Rattus norvegicus: one gene and its partner. The protein of the gene in region 1 binds, or shares a complex with, the protein of each later gene. Links are inferred from orthologs where the notes say so. Each region holds a gene or a part of one and is shown in the gene's direction. Other genes may lie near its edges.

Region 1 (10,416 bases):
AGTTTATTTGGCTTATACATCTCCAGCATCATTCATCACTGAAGGACATTAGAGCAGGAACCTGGTGGCAGGAGCTGATGCAGAGGCCATGAAGGAGTGCTGCTTACTGGCTTGCTCCACGTGGCTTGCTCAGCCTGCTCTCTTATAGCATCAAGGACCATCAGCCCAGGGAGGGCACTATCCACATTAGCCATCCCCCAACAATCACCAATTAAGAAAATTCCCTATAGGCTTGCGTCCAGCCTGATTTTATGGAGACATTGTCTTAGTTGAGATTCCCTCCTCTCAGAAAGACACTGGTTTCTGTCAAGTTGACATAAAAGTATCGAACACAGCTATGGGTCAGAGATTTTCTGTTTTGGTCATTGGTATATTTCCAGTAGCCAAGTCACTGTGGGAATTGATAAATCGCCCAGTAAATATTTGATAGAGTATAATCATTTGAATTCTCATCTTTCCTACACATGGAAGTGGTGATTTTCAGCCCTGATCTAAGAGGATTTCTGGGGAACTGGGAATAGGGCTCGGGAGTCAATAGAAATTGTTGCTCTTTCAGAGAACAGCAGTTTTTCCCCAGCACCCACATTAAGTAGCTCACAGTCCCTGCGACTCCAGTTCCAGGGCATCCAACATCCTTTTCTGGCCTGTGCAGAGACCTATACACATATGACATACACTCACAATGGCATACATACACATTAAATGTAAATATTGCTTAAAGGGGAGGAATTCTGTAGGAAAAACAACAATAAAACACAAGTCTTTCCAATGCTGCCACTTTAAGACAGAGATAAGTTAGTTATGCAGCTTTGGCTGAGTGAATCTTTCACTCACCTTCAGTAGTGACAGTCCAACCTGGTTTTTCTAAAGCTACTTCTCATGCAAAGTAGAAGATCACACAGAAGGCGTGGGACCTGCTGAAACCAAGTAGAACAATGTCATTGGTTCATTTGGCGGCTCAGTTCCTTCCTGCACCTGAGAAGATGAATAAATCCACCCCCATTTACCCACAATGAAATGGCTGACTGGCTGTGGGGCTGTGCCTAGATAGAGCCTTAGGGTTACGGAGAGCTGCTCACTTCCTGTTTACATTCTTCAGTGGCTTCTTATTACCTTAGACACAAGTTCCCACTTCCTAAACAGGTTTCAACAAAGACACAGGTGTTGGGTGTCAGGACTTGGAGCTTAGGGACTTTGCTCTTTCTCCATACCACTGGGGACATTCCTGAGTCCACACCAACATCTGACTTTTTCTCCTAGCTACACCACCACCCCAAAGGGCCTGTTTGCTACTGGTTCTTTAAGGTCCACATAAGCAAATTCACAAAAAAAGATGCACTTCCTTGTAGGAATCTGTATAAAGCAAGCACGTGAGAAAAGATGTTTGTTCAAAATTGGTCCTTTTATGCATTATGTGATTTATTGCTTATGACACTATAACAGTTAGAAACAACTTAAATATTCAGCTCTCACTATTTTGACTACATTAGTATAGTCATATTTATTTAAATCAGTTTCCCTTCCTTTCTTTTTTCTTGACCAGATCAGTGTAACTGAAGAGCCTTGCAGGACTGCTATGACTCCTCCAAGAGCATTGAAAGTGACCAATAAAGTTTCTTCAGCTCTAGTTTACACTTCTACAGACAAAGACACAGTGTAACTTCCGGGAACTATAAACACTTCCCCCCATCAGTACCTAGGACAGATTGGTCAATGACCTTGTGCTGCTTCTCCAAATACAAGCACTCAAAGGAATATCACTTTATTCACTCAGGTTATGTCATAGCAAATAAACCCCCTAATTTTTGGGTCTTTTCTACAAATCCCTACCCCACCCCCATACCAACTTGCCCAGTGATGGTCAACAAGTAATTTTCTTCCTTATATTGATTTGGGGACCAAAGCTCTTCCCAGCTGTGGCTCTTCCACTGGAGGAGCCTTTGAGTCCTGGCAAACAGTAAAAAGAAACATGGGGAAATCACCTTTTGTTGCCTGAGTCTGGAAACGATCCTCTTCACCGGCAAGCCCATTCCATGGATGAGTGACTAGTCACATAGTCCCAATCGGTACTGGGACTGTGAAAGAGGTGCTAGAAACATAATCCCCGATTGAGTGGCCACTTTCCAGAAACGGTTCTACCCTATGGAGGAGAAATGAGAAGCACTGCTATGCCTCTTGGAGAAGGAGGAAGAATCTCAAGTGTGGCACTGCCAGTAAAGCAACTCTCCTGCTCGTAGCATTCTGCACACTGGAAGGTGCCTGCCTGGTGGACAACTTGTAAGTTTCTTCCTCTTTATTCCTGGGACCACACTTCATCCAGCCCCTGTTCCTCCAGTGCCTGCTCTCTCTGTATTAGGACCAATCTGCCCTAGATACTGATGGGGTGAAGTGTTCATAGGTCCTGGAAGTTACTGTTTTCTTTGTGTGTATTACCCTGCTCTGACCCATGCAGAAAGTTGTACAGCCTACAGAGCTGGTCTCTGCTCCAGTCAACTGTTAGTAGGGAAGTAGGGTTGATTTCACTTTGTCCATGTGGTTAACAAGGCATAGCCATTTCCTGCAGGAAGAACTTGGTTGGCTGCAGTCATTTTTTCTGGAGAGGAAGGTTTTGGTTTTGATTTGTTTTTTGACAGCCTCACTTTATAGCCCAGGCTGACCTCAAATGCACAACCCTTTTGTCTCCCAAGTGCTAGAATTACAAGCATACCTCATCACACCCAGCCTCAACACTGGAAGCTTCATGGGGAGTCAGTGGGAAAGCACTTGCTGTAGTGTCTATCCTTTATGTGCCCTTAGCGTCTTTTTAAGACTGAGCCCACTAGGGCTCCAGATTCCTACAGTTCTGCTAGCAGATTGAAGAAAATAGTCACTAAAGGGATGAAAAGTGAACATGATGTTCTTGATAAAGAGCGACACAGAAAAAAGCAAAAGTGGGCTGAGATGTTGCTCTATAGTAGAGGGCTTACCTAGCATGAGAAGCTCTGGATTCAATCCCATTTAATCCTGGCACCTCAAAAACAGTGAGGGACGAGAAGAGGATGAATACTGTGGAACAACAACAACAAAAAAAACCCCACCAATTTAAAAAAATCTATTTAATCATAGGACTAGAAAGAAATATATGAAAATGTTTATTCTTTGGTCCATGCATTTATAAACAATTATTTATTGTTTTAGTTGCTATGCTTTCCAAACCCCTCCACAAAGGGAATATGAAGTTTGGGTCAACAGGGGTTCCGAGAGTAAAGGTACTGCTATGCAACCCTGAGGACCTGAGTTCAATCTCCAAATCCCACAGGAATGGACTGACTCCTAAAAACCATTCTTACAGTGCCACGCATGTGCTCTGGCACACATACACATGGAGGCACATGCACGCGCCCAGACACGCAATAATTTTTAAAAAGGCACTCAGATACAATGAGCACCTATATACCTTTCTAAAAGGTTACAATAGTTTTGTAGATTAAAGAATTACAGTGATTATTTGTTGAGTTCTTATCGAATGTTGCTTCCTCCGTGAATCAGATTGTTGCCCCACTACCGGGCCTTAGAAGCCCTCCGTCCAACATTCTTGTACTGCTCAGCAATCACAGGGAATTGTTTACTATATCTTCAGAAATCTTGGAGGTTTTTGAAAGAAGACACTGATTCCCCATCTCTGAATCCCCCGGCTCTAGCACATACTAAACATTCTAAGGCTCATGCCCCAGTGAAGAAAGCCAGTGAGTAGGGATATTCTAAATTCAATTGCATTTCCCCTGAGATTTTCTCCACAGCTGCGATGATCCGGGGAGGCCTGAGGAAAATTTGGAAGAATTGCTTTTGAAGGGCCAGAACTGAGGTTTCAGAGACCCTGGAGAAAAGAGAGCTGATCCAAGTTGGGTTTTCCTGACCGCTGCCAAGACTGTCACGTGGTAGTGTGTGGAGAATTCCCTAGTTTTGTTTATCCCTTTGGAATCTCTCATCCTTTCCCGGACTTCCCCGGAACAGGGGAAACCCCAGTACTAGGGACTGGGCTGTGTCACCAATAGCTGATAGTAGTATGCATTTAACCCCAAACCACAAATAAAGTATCGAGGAAGGGTGTGATTGTCAGGGGACACTAAAGTTGTCACTAAATATCTTCTAGAAATTTCTTCTAAAGAGCTTTTTAGGGCCAAGTAGAGTCAAGAAGGAGGCTCTGAAACAGATTTTAGCAATATTTGCCACAACTGAAACTCAACTATAGACCAAGCAAAACCACAAGCTGTACCAGGAAAGGTGAACCCTGTTACAAAGATGCCCCTGAAGCTGACAAATGCACCCGCCCTGCTCCTCACCACCCAGTGGTGGTAAGGCTAGGCAGGAGCTCAGGGGCCTTAGCTTCTGGACTCAACACAGGAGACCCCAGGATCAGATCCTAGAGCAAACTAGGTGGCCAAGCTGAGACCTGTTCAGCGCGTTCCTTCTGCTCATCCAAGAAATAATTCCTAACCCTGTAGGTTCCCGCAGAGGCGCTTGGCTCTGGTTCTGGGCCAGTGTACCCCGCAGGACCGCTGGATTCTTATTTCTACACTCACCCACTTTCTAAAACCAAACCCGAGAGGAAGGGCGAGGCGCTGTATGAGAATGCCCTGAAATATCCGAGACTAGAGCATTCCTCCGTAGGGACGTTTACAATAGGGCTGTCCCTGGAGACCGGCAAAGTTACTATGTCAGCAGAGTGAGTGGGAAGGGTGTGTGTGTGTGTGTGTGTGTGTGTGTGTGTGTGTGTGTGTGTGTGTGTGTGTGTTTTGGAGAGAGAAGGGAGAGGAAGAGACAGAGAGATTGAAAGATTGGAGGGGGAGGGAGAGAGGAAGGAAGGAAGGAAGGGAGGACAGGAGGGAGGGAGGGAGGGAGGGAGGGAGGGAGGAAGGGAGAGAGAGAGAGAGAGAGAGAGAGAGAGAGAGAGAGAGAGAGAGAGAGAGAGAGAGAGAGCTGGGGCGGGGTGGGGTGGGGTGGGGGGCAGGAAGGGATGGGTGGGGAGGGCCGCTGCCTGCCCTCCAGGCTCCTCCCACTCCGGAGCGCCTCCGCCCTCGGTACCCGCCCCGCGTACAAAGACGCGCGATCTTCGGCGCCAGCCCCATCGCTGTGTGCCCAGCTCTTCCAAAGACTGCAGCGCCTCAGGGCCCAGGTGAGTCCCGCACTTAATATCTGCCCTCACCCCACAGTCGCTTGCTTCAGCCTCCAGCGGGGTTTCGCTAGTGCCTCGCCCCGCGGGCCTGAGTGAGGCCCCCTTCCAGCTCGCAAACTGCTTCGGACGCCCCCAGACCCGCTAGGCTGGAGGAAGCCAACTCTTGTCTGCAGCTACCCCACCCTGGCGTCCGGGCCGCCGTTCCTCTGATCTCACTTTCAGCGTGTAGTTCTTCCTTTTTATCTCTTCTACTTTGGAACTAGTCTTAAGAGTTAACTGGAGTTTAGCAGAACCTGCTTGCGCCCTGTCCCAGCTGGCAGTTCCTTGCAGCTTTAGACTACAGGCAGACCTCAGTCCAGATGTTCATAGCCTCCTCCCCAACCAGATTGTCTGAGCTGCCTTGGCCAGGGAGGACTGGCGGCTTGGCAGCTGGAGGATTCCCTTTCTAAAGGACCCTGCCCTGCTGGTTGCCTTAGCCCCAGTGCAAATTGCAGGTTGGTTCAGAAGGATCTTTAAAGAAGGACTTTCTATTCGTTGTCTTTATGAAGAGGTGTTGGGGTGAGTTTCTCTCTATCAAGTGTTTCTCTTGCTACTTGAATTAAATAAAAGAGAGGTGGAGCGAGAGCAGGTTTGGTGTAGAATCTTCAGTCCCGGCTTGATTTGATGCGGTGCAGTGAGAGGGATGTACCTGCTTCATGGCCTGAGCTTGGTTACAGGAATGACTGAGCTCTTCCCCAGCCCTGCCTGGGAGGACTCTGGAGAAATTACTGAGTGGGTGGCAAGGAAAACAGAAAAGTAACAGACCAGTAAAGAGCCCGGAGCCACATTCTGAAATCCATAGAACCCACCTCCCTTCATTCTCTTACCACCCCCACCCCCACCCCAAGAAAGCTAGACACATTCTGCAGGGTGGGGCTAGCACAAAGGGTTCCTGGATTCTCCTAGTGATCTGAGGCCTGTGACTCAGCTGTGAGACCTTGGGTGTGGCCTAGCTGGTTGCTGATTCTCTGTGAACGTTTGAACAGATCGCTCCCTGAAGGAAAAGAGGAACTGTGCCATCTTCCAGGGCATTTTCCAAGAGGAAATGAGTCACAACTAACTGGCCACCAACCTGCAGGAGGGGTTTCTTGACTGAGCTGCCTGTGAGGGCAGTAATTAGACTGGCAGAACCTCGCCAAGTCTCTCTCTTTCCTCCTGAAGCTTGCCTTTCAGCTTCCAGGAGTGGATTTTTTGCATGTTGTACTTCAAGTTAGGTGGAGACACCCTGTCAGAGAGCCTTCGGTGTGTTTCAACAAATTGGAAACGATAATGTCAGGAGTTGGGGCAAGAAAGAGTTCATGTAATTCACTGAAATTTCATTTTCCTTAGTCTCCCCCACCCAGATTCCTATGCAATGTCTATTTAATCGGCGCTGACAGTCTGAGTCTGTCTGTCTGTCTTTCTTTCTTTTCTCTTTCTTCCTTCCTTCCCTCCCTCCCTCCTCCTCCTCTTCCTCCTCCTTCTCCTCCTTTTTCTTCTTCTTCTTTTGGTCTGCTTGGCATAGAGCAGTTATTTGTGTCCACCCTGATTTCTGAGTGATGTTGTTCCCTGGCTTTTCCTGAATACAACATCAGACAGACTGTTGTCCTTCTATACCTGGCCTCTGGCCAGCCTCTGAGCAGTCACCCCAATGTGGTCAGGCCTTGGGCTGGGTGGGGCTGAGTCTGGATGCTTCTCTGCTTTCCACTGACAGTTAAAAAAAAAAAAAAGTCGTGTCTCCCCGCCTCCCCTCCCAGCAAATACATAAGTATTTGATATGCCTTGGACACACTCCATCCATTTAAGCCTAGCTAAGGGAACAATGGGATTCTTTCAGAATTATGAAATAAACTAATGTTCACAGTACTGGGAAAAGCTGGACTAAAATATGGGCTCTCAGGATTCACAACTTAGGAATCACATCTCAGAAGCAAAGGGAGTAACATGCTTGGCATGTGTGAGGCTCTGGTTCTTCAGGACCATGGGCCACCCCTGGGGGGAGACAGGGAGGGACTGATTGACTTTTAAAACCAACTTTCACCCCTTCAACTAAATAATTCCCACTTGCTGCTGTAGCCAGTGTTGGTTGGGTTGCTGGATCATGACAGCGTCTCATGGAAATATGGGTGGGTGTTCTTTGTTTAGAATTCTTTCTTGCTATTGAATTGCATCTGGAACTTTCTTTTGCAGATCATGTCTGTAGTAAGCAAGTTTTACTTGGGGAGAAAGGCTAAGCCAAAATCCATTGTTTTAATCTCATTCCTACACCAAATATACTTTAAGGGTCTGATTCAAGAATGTTCTCTGGATTCAATTAAAAAAAAAAAGAAAAAAAAAGAATTGTTCTTCAAATTTTCCTAAACAAAAGAACAGAAACCCTATAAATGTTTTAAAATAATGGATGGTTATGTTCACCGACACCATAATTAATTCTGGGTGGCTTCAAGAAAAGTAAGATATGGACAAAATGCAGATGAACAAAGTAAATCAGGCCTCCAGCTTCTGAGATTTATAGCCTAGACCTGGGTATAGGTCCCCATCTTATGCCCCTCCCACAAAGACCAACAGAGAAAATGAGAACATTGTTGGTACTTCACACCATAGGCGATGTGTGTGCAAAGTGCTGAAAAGGAAACAAAAACAGGAATTGTTTTCTTCAGAGGAAGAGAGAGTTAAGACAGGTTACTCAGGCTAATGTGAAGGGCATATGCTGTTATCAGAATAAAATGGTTCAGTAAAAGGTGAGTAGGTAAGGCCTGGGTCTTTCCTGAAGTGCTAGCCAAGGAATGACAAGTGTGATGAATGAAACCAAGAGGAACAGCAGGAACTAGAAGCCTGTGCATCTGACCAGACCTGCCTAGCAGGACACATAGTTTATCCCCTTGTGTGTGGAATGTGTATGCTGTACTCTGCTGTTCCATTCATAGGTGAACCCTGATGAGGCCTTGCTCCCACCCTCCCCAAAACTCACATCCTTCAGCTGCTGTGCTCTGAGCTACACTGTTGTCATCTGCCTAAAGGCAATTGCATCTGCATCGCCTCAGCTTTGAGTGATTCATATAGCAAGTGTCATCCAGTGGCCTCTCCATTAAAGCAGATCAATGTGTGGTTCAAGATGGCTCTAGAGCCAAGGGAGGCAGGGGAGAACAGGTGTATCTGAATTTACCAGGTATGAAGTGGGGTGTCAGGGACACTGAAGAGGTTCCCCAAAATCTCAGACCAATGCCCAAGGCCCTCCTGACAAAGTGTTACCCAATTAGAAGGGGAAGGCCCACCCCATCTGGAGTGGAGTTCGTGGGGCGTTAGGTGGACTGGAGATGCCAGATTCTTAAAGTTCCTAAAAAGCTTTCATTCTAGTAACGGATTTTAGAGCTATAGTGAGCCCTGTAAATGCAAGCCCCATCCAAGCAACGGAGGATCCAAGTAGAGAAGGACAATATGATGCATTCATTCATCTGAGAGAGCAGCAGTTTCACATTTCTGTTACGTGTGTTTGCTTGTTTGTTGTTTTGAATTTTGAGACAGGGTCTATATAACCCATGCTGGCTGATAACTCCATTTCTCCTATGAGCCCCTCCTCACCCCGGAGTGCTAAGTTCATAGTTCTTGGGACTGTTCCTACGACACCTGGCTGCTTTGCCTTACTGTAATCCTTTCTCCAGAAAAATTTCTTGCCTGTAGCCCTGGTCCCTCTGGGATCAAAGGCATATGCTGTGAATTTCAACTCTGTTTTAACATTCTGGCCAGCCCCTATCTCTATATTATTATTGCAGGTATCTTGAACAGGCTGCTCTGTTTGCCACTCTGTGGAATAAAACAGGGAAGTTGGGGTGGGAGGACCTAGAGCAGAGATGAAGCTTCAGGGAGGAACACTCACTTCATGGCCCCCTGGGTAAGGCAGGAAGGAGTGGACTCACCTCAGACCTTAACTCTAGGCAAGGTAGCCTGACCTCACCCTCCTGAAGAAGATATTCAAGTGAGGCCAGGATTTTCTCTGCTTTCAGCTTGCATTTCCTGGGAGCCCTAAATTGGTCTGTTTTTCTATTTGGGGGAATCCCTCTTTAGCTCTGCAATACCTCCTGATGCCTGGGAGGAAAGTACAATGGATATCCACCTAGTTCTAACAGCTGGGTTGTCTGGAATCTGGAATCTTTGCTGTGAGAGGAGGTCAGGAAGCTCTGTATCACTGAATGTGGGCACAGACTTTAAAAACTTCGTTAACATCTGGCTCCTTTCCTGAATGATTGAAGGACTGAGGTGGCCATCCCATGTCCTTCTTTAGGTGACTGAAATCCAGTTCTCTTAAACTCTGTGCTTCTAAATCAATCCAGGCAAGGTGGACTCCCTTGACCCACTAGAAACCTTATAACCGGGATTGGGGTGGTAGGGAAGATGGGAGCGGTATAATAGAGGAAAAGGGGAGGGGCTCCTCTGGGTTTCATGCTAGTGTACACCTTGAAGTATAAACTTGCTGCTGTCCACGTCATGCAGATGGATCATGCCAGATCCTCGTTGGCGGTGTTCTCAGGTGTGGGATTCTTCAGCTGATTCCAATTTTTCTGAGAAAGGTAGAGTTACAATCCTTAAATATAACTCTTCAATGCTAGTGTTGAGCACCGCACCTTTGACCCTGTAAAAGATAGTATTTAGAATCCAGGCCTAATGACTCAGACTCCAAATACCATCTACTCGACTGACAGAGGCAGGGAGCTCTCAAGTGAAGGGCAGTGTAGGTAAATTAGTGAGACTTGTCTCAAAAGAAAAAGTGAAAAGAGGGTCAGGGTGTACATATATTTCAGTGATAGAAGACATGCATAGCATGAGTGAGGCCCTAGGGTTGTGTGTGTGTGTGTGTGTGTGTGTGTGTGTGTGTGTGTGTGTATTGGGGTAGGTTACAGAATTTAGGGATCTGAGCAGGCAGCAGGATTCAGACCAAAGCACACCCCAGGTTCCTGTTGTTACTCTTCAGCAGAACTTGCCAGCTTCTCCCATCTTTACTCAAAACTCTATGTGGACCCTGAGCTCCGCTAGGCACTGGGTCTGATTGAAATATTTGCTCCAGTTCATTGTACTCAACACAACATTTCCTTTCCTCTCTTTGAACTCTTCATGAGATGAAAGGCCCTTGGTCTCTCACTGCACCCCAGCTTGTGAGGAAAAATGCTTCTGCATAGTTGTGTCAAAAATGTATCTGGTTCCTAAGGAGTTTGTATATATCCTTACCTATTCCTTCTCTGTTGAAC
Region 2 (10,584 bases), about 77 Mb from region 1:
CTTTGTTTTGTTGCAAAATGATTAGTTTCTTGCTTTTTCTAGGGTCTAGCTTGCCTTCTTGTTTTCGGCTTTACCATTTATTATCCTTTGTAGGGCTGGATTTGTAGAAAGATATTGTGTAAGTTAGGTTTTGTCATGGAATATCTTGGTTTTTCCATCTATGTTAATTGAGAATTTTGTTGGGTACACTAACCTTGGCTGGTATTTGTGTAATAAGAGATTTGGGTCTGCATGACATGTCCAGGGTCTTCTGGCTTTAATACTCTGTTGAGAGGTCTGGTGTGATTTTGATTGGTCTGCCTTTATTTGTTACTTGACCTTTTTCCCTGACTGCATTTAATATTCTTTCTTTGTTTTGTGCATTTGGTGTTTTGACTATTATGTGACGGGAGGAGTTCCTTTTGTGGTCCAATCTATTTGGAGTTCTGTAGGCTTCTATGTTTATGAGCACCTCTTTCTTTAGGTTAGGGAAGTTTTTTTCTATGATTTTGTTGAAGACATTTACTGGTCCTTTGAGTTGGGAATCTTTACTCTCTTCTATACCTATTATCCTTAGGTTTGATCTTCTCAACGTGTCCTGGATTTCCTGTATGCTTTGGGTCAGTATCTTTTTATGTTTTACATTATCTTTGAAAGTTGTGTTGATGATTTCTATGGAATCTTCTGGTCCTGAGATCATCTTTCCTATCTCTTGTATTCTGTTGATGATGCTTCCATCTACTGCTTCTTGTCTCTTCCTTTGGTTTCCTATATCCATGGTTGTCTCCCTTTGTGCTTGCTTTATTGTTTCTATTTCCATTTTCAGTTCCTTCAGCTGTTTGATTGTGTTTTCCTGTAATTCTTTCAGGGATTTTTTCTTTCTTCTCTAAGGGCTTCTACTTATTTACCTGTGTTTTCCTGCATTTCTGTAAGGGAGTTCTTTATGTCTTTCTTAAAGTCCTCCATCATCATTATCAAATGTGATTTTAAATCTTACTTTTCTGGTGTGTTTGGATATTCAGTATTTTCTTTGGTGGGAGAATTGGGCTCCGATGATGCCATGTAGTCTTGGTTTCTGTTGCTTGGGTTCTTGTGCTTGCCTCTTGCCATCAGGTTGTCTCTGGTGTTACCTTGTTCTGCTATTTCTGACAGTGGCTTTACAGTGCTATTGGCCTGTGTCAGGAGTGCTGTAGATCTGTTTTCCTGTTTTCTTTCAGCCAGTTATGGGAACAGAGTGTCCTGCTTTCAAGTGTGTTGTCGTTCCTGTCTGTCCACTGGTCTTCAGGTGTTCCTGTCGGTGTGTGTCTTGAGTCCACCGGACAGGTCACTTGGAACAGAAAAGTTGGTCTTACAGACCTCTGGTCTCCAGCTTGAAGTCGCTCCTTGGGGCTGGGTTTCAGCTCTCTGTGAGGGGAGCAACCAGAAGGGCCTGCCCCTACTTCTGGGTCCCTGTGCACAGGGAACCCTAATGGTGCTACGTCTTTTCCTCTAGAGTCAGAAATGTGGGCAGAGAGCAGTCTCATCTGGTTTCCCAAGTATGTCTGCCCCTCTGAAGGTCTAGCTCTCCCTCACATGGGATTTGGGTGCAGGGAGCTGTTTGACTGGGTCTGTTCAGATTTCGGTTCAGTCTGGACCGCAGGGCTCTTGCAGCTTGACTGCCCCTAGTCTTCATTTTTAAACTTTCACTTTCTAATAGAGTATTTGAAATGGTGAGTTCGACTTTAGTTTGGCATTTCTAGGACTGTAGGACATGAAAGTTTGGTGAACATTAGGACGTGACGGTTTGATTTACCAATATGATAGTTTCCCATGTAAAAATTAGATTTTATCATATCAAAATTGCATAGAGAGTTGAAGTTTTAGTCATTTAATTTTTTAGATACAAAGTAGGCTAATGTTTACTGAAAGGTAGAAAGTGCTTACCAATCTTTCTAATATTCATTAGGTAAAAGAAAAGAGATAGCTTTGGTATGGCCTTGGCAATAGCTGGAAATAATTCCACTTAAATTTCTGTGCAAAGCTAGTCTTGGAATGGTGCTGCCTCTGTGTAAAGGCCCCTGTTCAGAGCCAGGGGTGGTGTGTTTACCCTTAATCCATCACTCAGTAGGCAGAGGCAAGGAGATAGATCTTTTTGAGGCAAGCTTGGTCTAATTAGTGTGTTCCAGGACAGCCAGAGCTATGTAGTGAGACCCAGTTTCAAAACAACAATAAGAACAAGGACAAGGACAAGAACAAGAACAAGAACAACAACAAGAACAACAACAACAAAAGGGTCCTAGCAGGTGGCCACATTGCAAGCTAATCTCAAACAGCTCTGAACTTGGCTATCTGAAGAACATTCAGTGTCTAAAGGACGAAAAGGAAACATCTCCTTTTGTCTCAGTGGGTAGGAGTGGAGGTTAGCTTATCTTCTGGCCTTAGATTTGAAACAATTCAGTTTTCTTTGAGGATATATGTGAAAATGACTGGCTTCTGGAAACTGCACTATTCTGTTACTTATGGGGAACAACCTTGCCAACTACACCTCATTCAGAAACAGGCCTCAAACAACCATAGTCTTCATTATGGGTTGAAGGACTCATTAGACAGTAACTCATTTTACAAGGATATTATTAAAAAGGAATGAATGCTATTCATTGCTTTTTAAAGAAATAATTTATTTTCAATTTATGTACATTGGTGTTTTGCCTGCACGTATGTCTAATTACAGATAGTTGTGAGCAGCCATGTGGTTGCTGGGATTTGACACCAGGTCCATCTGGAAAAACAGTCTGTTCTTTTAACTGCTAAGTCATTTCTCCAGCCCTATTATTTATTTTTTAAAACAAGTACTTGATATCAATTAGCCAAGCTGAACTAACTTTACTCAGTATTAGTTTTCCATCATGTTTTTTGTTCTTCCAGTTATGGTTTGCCCAGTCTTCTGTCATGAACTCTAATCTATTGATACCTGGTTATGTGAGAAAAAGCAGTTATACTACACTTCATCTTAGCCAAAAGGCTGAAAATCAATGAAAAAGCAGTTATAAATAAATAATTTTTCTCTTTTTAAATATTCTTTGGCTATTTTTTGTGTTTATGTGAGTATATGTGTGCATAAGTGTGTGTATGTGTGGTATGTGTGTGTTTATGCCTGCAGGGTTATATACATGGAGGCTACAAGAAATTATTGGGTGGCTTGTTCTACAATACTCTGTTGCATTCCTTTTAGACAGTCTCAGTTCCAGAAACCCTCCTCATTTATTCAACATGTATTTATCAATAGAAAATTATATGCCATTTTTAGTGAATTGATAGTACAGAAACACACATGTATACATTTACATATCTTGGGGCAGTAGCTTAGGAATTTTCAGTTCAGCTTTCAGGTGAATCCTCAGGTGATTGAGGAGTGACAGCAACCCCTTTAGCAACAGGAAGCTTGTATAGGGCTTCTTTTCTACATGGTTACTTGAGGAAATAAGTTCTTTTTGTGGCTGATGAATAGTGGTTTGTCTTTGTTGTTGAGGTTTGGGTTTCTATTTTCAGCAGAAAAAATGCTGTTAAAGAACCATGTTATAAGAATTGGTAATATTTAGTCCAATGAGCATAGATAGCTTTATTAATTTGACACATACAAAGATTATCAGCTACTGTGGAGACTGAGGCTTCTGCCTTACGTTGTCCTGGGAAATCCCCAGCCTGGGTAACTTTTTGAGTCCTTGTAATAAAATAAAGGCTGGGGGTATTTCTTGTAGATAGACAGCTTGCCTATTTTGCACAGGCCTTAAGAGTCAATACCCACTACTGAAAAATCCCAAACCAAAACCCACCTCTGCATTTGTATTATAAAACACCATGAAGATGGTAAAATAACTGAAGAAAATGAAACATCTGCATTAAGTTTCCTGTTGGGGGAATGAAATACTTCCTTCTACAGATTCTCAGTGACAGCTAGAGATGCAACTCAGAGGAAGAATGCCTGCTTAGCACGCACAACAATCCCAGGAAAGATGATGCCCCGCCAAATGAATCTTCTGCAAGGCCCCTTAACTGAGCTACTATGATTGTGCACTGTTTGGAATGCTGCAAACCCAGAGCCAAATTATCTTGAGCCATTTTAGCCTTCTTAGTAGCCATTTATTGTCCTCCTCTGTACTTAACATGTTTCTATGACCACAGGGTAAATAATTTGGAATGTACAAACAGCACTACCTGTCAACAAACTAAAAAGCCAAGGACAATGTCGAGTATCTTAGGCCTCTAATAGAGGTTCTTCATTATACTTTTTCCCACCTACTTAATGGTCACACCAAATGTATTGGAAAAGTATCTTCATTTATGACTTTCCTTGTTCTGTTAGTATAAAAACTTCATGAAACTGCTTCAGTTGAAATATAGCATTTGGGGTGGTCTAAATCTGTGTTCCCAGGCCGTGGTTATTGACATTTGCCTCCAGCACAGATTGTCTCTTAATACGTTAGGGTTCTCCCCCCCCCCCCCCCCCAAGGAATCACCTTTACCGTGGCTGATACTGGTGCACACAAAACTCCAAGTGGAATGTCCCTTTAGATTCTAAAATTTCTTTACAGTGCCTCTTTCAGTTTCCTGAGAAAATACATGTGGCCCAAGCCACCACCTCAGACCTTACACTAATGTTGGACCAGTCTGCCTTTGTCAGCAACGGAATTGTAAGGTTGTCTTATTTTATGGCTTTCTTCTACCAAGGGAAGAAAATTTCTTTAAACAAGATTAAAACGAGGTGGGAGAGGGAAATTTGTATGTTCTCACTCAGATTTCCAAAACTCAGGGTCTCGCATACACGGAGGTCACTAAGAACAAATATAGTCAGGGCTCAGGAGAAGAAATGAGGCAGGCCCTGTTAGGCATTACATCAGATAGAGAGAGGGTCTGACCTATGAGAATATCCTTGAGGCATCAGGGCAGTGGCTAGAAGTCATGTTCTTGCCCCAAGTCCGTCATGACCTTGAGCCAGGTGCCTCATTCTAGACGCTTCGATGTTTTCCCGCGCAACTCGCTTCCGACCACGTCAGAACTCGGTGGAACCCTGGCGCGCCACACCGCCTTTGAATCGCAGCACAAGGCGGAGCTCCCAACCCTCACGTATCCTTATTGGTTGGTTTTCTCAGACTCTTTCTTTCGATTGGGCACTCGCAGTGCCGATCACCGAACGTCACTGGTTCCTCACATTGTTGCAGGAAGGAGTGGGCGTAGACATGTCTCCCGGGGAGCTTGTGGCCTCCAGATTCTGACTTGCTTTCCGGCCCCTGGGCCGCTACACCTTGAGGAGCTTTTTCAGACGGTCTGAGAAGATCCGGGGTGCCCAGGGCATTCCAAAGCCACTCCGCCCCCCGCCATGTCTTGGAAGTTCAAGAGGTGAAGGGCTGAGGGGGGCTGGGCGTGAGGCCAGTTTCTCTGCGTTTTGCTCAAGTGAAGGTGCGCGCCCGGGCAATAGGTGCAGCTTGTATTCCTGTGGTGCTGTTTTCATTCCTTCTGCGGGTTCTTGCTGGTGTTGTGGTGGAGGTACCAAAGCACTGTCTCGGCTGACCCGAGAATCGGCTGCTAAGACCTCGGGGAATCTGCGTCAAAGACTGCAGGGGGGGATCTGAAACCCGACCGGAATGATTTATTCACCATTGTTATCCCAATGTTTGCTAGCCATTTTATGGCAATCCGATCCTGTGTGTCTCCTGGTACTGTGCAGAAGCTTACTAAAACGTATTTGCAGAGGAGCTGAAAGGGAAACTCGCTACTTGATAGCCCTGTGTGTTTTTAGGAGAATGACAACTTCTAGGAGGCTTCCAGCAAACGCATCTTTTCATCATCTATAGTGGTCTTCATGCCCAATTCTTTTTTTTTTTTTTTTTCCAATTCTTGCAATAATTATCCCTATCCTTTAAAATAATAGGGCGATGTATACGTAAAGGGGCTTCAGGTCAGCTCTCTATGATGTCCCAAGTTTAGATACCCAATTTAATGTGTTCTGTTCAGAAGGAGTTAAAGCAGAAGATGCTGTGCATGTATTTATGTCAAAAGTCAAAAATATTTTCATAGCCGGCAGTGGTGGCACGTGGCTTTAAGAGTACCTTGGAGGGAGAGGCAGATGGATCTCCGACTTTGAGGCCAGTCTGGTCTACTGAGTGAGATCTAGGATAGCCAGGGCTACACAGAGAAACACAGTCTCAAAAAAAAACAAAAGAGAAGAGGGGAAGGGAGAGGAGAAAAGAGAAATAAAAAACGAAAAGAAAAAAAAATCTTGTAATGGTTATTTTGTTTTTATAAATCCATTTCTTCTTCATCACGTAGGCACCGAAAATTTTGACATTGTAATTGTAGCTTCCGACTTTAGATAGTTTTCTTTTCACCAGGAAAGCAGTTCCAGTATCTAACAGGTCAGATTTCGGATAACCTTCTCCACTGGATTCTTGATTTATTCAGGGAAATTGTTAAGTGATTGTTGCCACATAGCATTTCATTTGCTAAAATAAAATATAAGGAAGTGATCAGCCTGAAACTAGGAGGGAAAACTTAATCAAGTTCTGTGGTTTTAGCTTTCTGTTTTGTTTTAAAATAGGGATTCTGTTTGGAAGTATTCACAGTCTGCCCAGTATGGAGCCCATGAAAATATTCCAAGACTTTCATACCCACCTTTCTTTCCACGTTTTGAATTCCAAGACATTATCCCTCCAGATGACTTCCAAACTAGTGATGAAGAGCTAGATTTGGTTTTATTTGGAACTATGAGAGGACAAGTTGTTGGAATACGCTATTACACAGGAGTTGTAAGTATAGGATTAGATAATAAAATTGTATTTTTATGGTTTTAACAGTAAATTATATTAAAAGGTGATATATACAATTAATGTTTTACTTTGAATGAAAGGTTAGTCATGAATACCTTTACCAACTTTGACCAATTTTTTACCATTTCTACCGTGCTTGCAGTATATAAAGTACTTTTGCCCACACATTTGATCCTTCTAATTACTGAGGTATGTGGTAAATTTAAGAAATGACTTTTAAAAAAAAGACTTTAAAGCCACCAGGTTTTGCATTTAGTTTTTATCTTTTATTTCCTGCTCTTTCTAATGCATTCCTGTTCTCTGAACTGAATGTGTGTATATGTGTGTGTGAGAGAAAGAAAAGGGGACAGATTGAGAATATATATAATTTTCTTTGGACAATAATCCTTATTAGTTTCATCTTTGTCATTTAGTAATATAATTTTAATGTTATCTAATTTATTACGAGAAAATTTCAAACAAAATGAGAATAAGATCAGTGGTTAGTAAGTATTTTCTATGTTTGCTTTCTTGTTTTTGGTCTTGTAAAAACAGATACCAGTTGTATCACTTTACATTAGTACAGTTCAGTGTATATCTCTTTAAAATGCAGTTTGGGGGCTGAAGAGATGACTCAGCAGTTAAGAATTCTTGCTGCTTGTACAGACAATTGCAGTTCTGGTCTCAGGACTCATGGCTGGCAACTCACAGCACCTACAGCTCCAGGTGTCCACTGCCCTCTTCTGGCATACATGACTACCCTCCCCAATACACACATGTACATGGTTAGAAATAAAAGACATCTTTAAAGAACCCTCACAGTTTTTACATTTCATTTTTATTAATGGAATTAACCCATATGTGTAATAAGCACTCAATAATTGCATTTTATTGGTAATTTAAAATGGATTTTTTCCAGTTAAGCTCAAGACAGGGTTATTATATTAGTTTTGGCTGCTATGGGCTATAAAGTCCATTCTAATTTCCTTTTATAGATGTGTATATTTAAAAATAAGGTCTCTTTTGTGGAATCTTGTTGATTTCTTACTTTCTCCTTCCCTCATTTTTTTCATATTTATTTTAAATTTATAAATTTATTTTATTTATGTGAGTACACTGTCAGACACACCAGAAGAGGGCATTGAATCCATTACAGATGGCTGTGGGCCACCATGTGCTTGCTTGGAATTGAACTCAGGACCTATGGAAGAGCAGTCAGTGCTCTTAACTGCTGAGCCATCTCTCTAGCCCTTTTCATATTTTTATATTAACACTCATTAAGAGTTTTTTTTTTAATCCCCTGTTGGAAGGGGTTTGAATTAAGACTCCAGCCTTGGCTGGTCTGGAACTCACTAAGTAATCCAAGGTTGACCCTGAACTCATAGTGAACTCGTAGTGGTCTGTTGTAAAAATATAAAAAATAAAATGCTGTCTTTTTACCTGCTCTAGGTCCGAAACTGCGGTGCCCCAAAATATCTGCTAAATATCTTGTCAGAAGCACGTATCCCAATTCTGCAGCCGCCCAGTATCGCACACTTTCTTACACTTAAATCGCTACATGAAAGAACACACAACCCAATAACCTCTGATCCAATTGATTAGATATAATTACCCACCTAAACATATAAAGCCTGTACACATCCATCCCTTAAGAACATTCATAACAACCTGTAAGGGTACAGCGTGGAATCCTAACGTCAGCCTCCATGTTGTCTCTCGGCTTCTTTCCCTCCTCCTCCCCTCTTCCATTCCTGTCTCTTCTTCAAACTTTTCCCCGCCCATCCTTCCTTCTTGTCCAATGACAGGCCTCATTCTATCTTGCACCTGCCTCACCTGTGATATCACCCCACAGTGGTCCACTTGTCTCAGCCTTCTGAGTACTTGATGGTTTCAGAACCTTTTTTTAAATTGAAGTATGATATCAGGAGGTTCCTTGGAGGAATTCTGTGGTTCCTATCTGTCATGTTTTTGTTCTCTGTATTTTTATGTTGGAATAACTCAGGTTGTTTAATAGCTGTATGAGATGTAGTGTATAGGAGATTACTTAGGGAAGAACAACTATTTTTTTAAGTTTTGGTGAAGTCATAATTTTCGTTTGTTTCTCTACAGTTTGGCCAACTATAAAGTGCTTGGTTCACACTTTTTCTGTATATCCTAATGTTGCACAATATAATGCTCATAAAAATTTTGATGACCATAGGATTTTCTGTCTTAAGTGAATTGACTTTTTTTTTTTGGCCTGATGATTAAAGGATATTGTGGGTTTTTTTTTTTTTTTTTTTTTTTTTGGAGCTGGGGACCGAACTCAGGGCCTTGCGCTTGCTAAGCAGGCGCTCTACCGCTGAGCTAAATCCCCAACCCCCTCTTTTTTTTTTTTTTTAAAGAAGTCTAATAGTTTCATTAAGGTATTCTATAATTTTTTTATTTCAAAAAAATTCTAAAACAAAATTCTAAAATTATACTTGTGAATGTTTGCTTTATTCCGAAGCCATTTGTTTTAGAAACTCTGTATTCTCATGTACTTCTCCATCTGTTTCCTGTTTGCCTCTAATAGTCCATGTCTACTATAGCCTCCGAATCCTTGTGCTGTGATTTTCCATTTTTGTTTTTCCTCACTTCATTTCATTTTCTTACCGTGCTTTTCAGATGCTCTGTTTACACTTATGTTGATTGTAGTACTTAGTGTTTGCTCGTTAAATTTTCTCTTCTAGTCATTTTAACAATCTATCCATTCTTAGTTGGTCTTTATCTTTTCTCTGGTTCTCACTTCCTTTTGTGAGTCATACTTCATATTTGTACTATTTCAAAATTGACATTGTTTTCTAAATAACACTTCTATGAATTGTTAGGTTATAGTTATTAATCTCAGAACAATCAATTATATTGATCTTAGAATAATTTCTATGATACTAGTTAACTAATAAGAATATATAAAGATTAAATGTTTAGTTCATTTTCCCACTGTACAGTATTTGCAGGTAATATCTTCATTATTTTAAAGTTAGATTACTTGGATTGAATTTTCATCAAGCTTTTATACTATAGCTTACTTTATATATTCTATCATTTTTTTCAATAAATATACACATATAATTGAAATCATATTAATAAAAATAAACCAGAACGGGAAATGGGTAGTTACTACCATAGCATTCATTCCACTGTTATACACTTGGACAGTTCTTGTCACTCCAGTCACTGCAGTTCACGTGGTTTACAGCTGGGTAAGGCTGTAGAAGACTCGCCTCCTCCCTGTCCCGGAGGCTTCCATAGCGCTTTCGTATTATGAAAGCTACTCAGCAGGGACTAAGTCAGTACCACCTTCATTTCTCCAGGTCCTATGGACAATGTATATGGTGCTTTTATGCTTTTCTTACTATCAAGTTCTTTTGGGCAGCCAGGAGCCAAGACAATATCCTATATTGTTTTGGGAATCTTTTGGACTACTTGTAGAATACCAAACCTGGCACTGAACTTTTGTTTGGAAACCTATGGATTTTGGGATGACTATAGTCCTCATATAGGGTAACTCTAACCTCTTTTATGTGGGAAAATACTACACACACACACACACACATACACAAACACACACACACACACACAATTTCTGTATTGCCTTTTACATACAACCTTCATGGTAATTCTCCCCTAAAATTCCTCTCATCCCTTTCCCACTTAAACATCCACATTATTTCTCTTTTCTCCTACCCTCAAGCCCCTCCCCTCATTGTTCATTTCTGGTTTCCTGGATTGTAAGGTGTTCCAAAATAAGCAAACAAGTCTGAAGATTTGATACTAAGATCCACATGATTGAGAACATGTG

What was found. Proteins that work in one complex are often made in the same cells at the same time.
Region 2: the proteins of S100a10 (region 1) and Hltf are in contact, whole or in part, in a crystal structure (PDB 4HRE), measured with the Homo sapiens proteins. The link is inferred for Rattus norvegicus from reciprocal best matches to the Homo sapiens genes S100A10 and HLTF. Residues at the interface, in NP_002957.1 of Homo sapiens: Phe42, Asp58, Leu59, Asp60, Gln61, Gln70, Ser74, Leu75, Ala77, Gly78, Leu79, Ile81, Ala82, Tyr86; in NP_001305864.1 of Homo sapiens: Thr32, Phe33, Phe34, Pro35, Phe37, Phe39.

What each region holds. Positions count from the first base shown.
Region 1 is NC_086020.1:181,899,324-181,909,739, forward strand, and holds the start of S100a10 (protein S100-A10), read left to right. Parts: upstream 1-5,130; 5' UTR 5,131-5,155; intron 5,156-10,416. UniProt on the Homo sapiens protein: Because S100A10 induces the dimerization of ANXA2/p36, it may function as a regulator of protein phosphorylation in that the ANXA2 monomer is the preferred target (in vitro) of tyrosine-specific kinase.
Region 2 is NC_086020.1:104,473,605-104,484,188, forward strand, and holds the start of Hltf (helicase-like transcription factor), read left to right. Parts: upstream 1-5,160; 5' UTR 5,161-5,335; coding exon 5,336-5,355; exon of another isoform or gene 5,356-5,415; intron 5,416-6,553; coding exon 6,554-6,761; intron 6,762-10,584. UniProt on the Homo sapiens protein: Has both helicase and E3 ubiquitin ligase activities. Possesses intrinsic ATP-dependent nucleosome-remodeling activity; This activity may be required for transcriptional activation or repression of specific target promoters.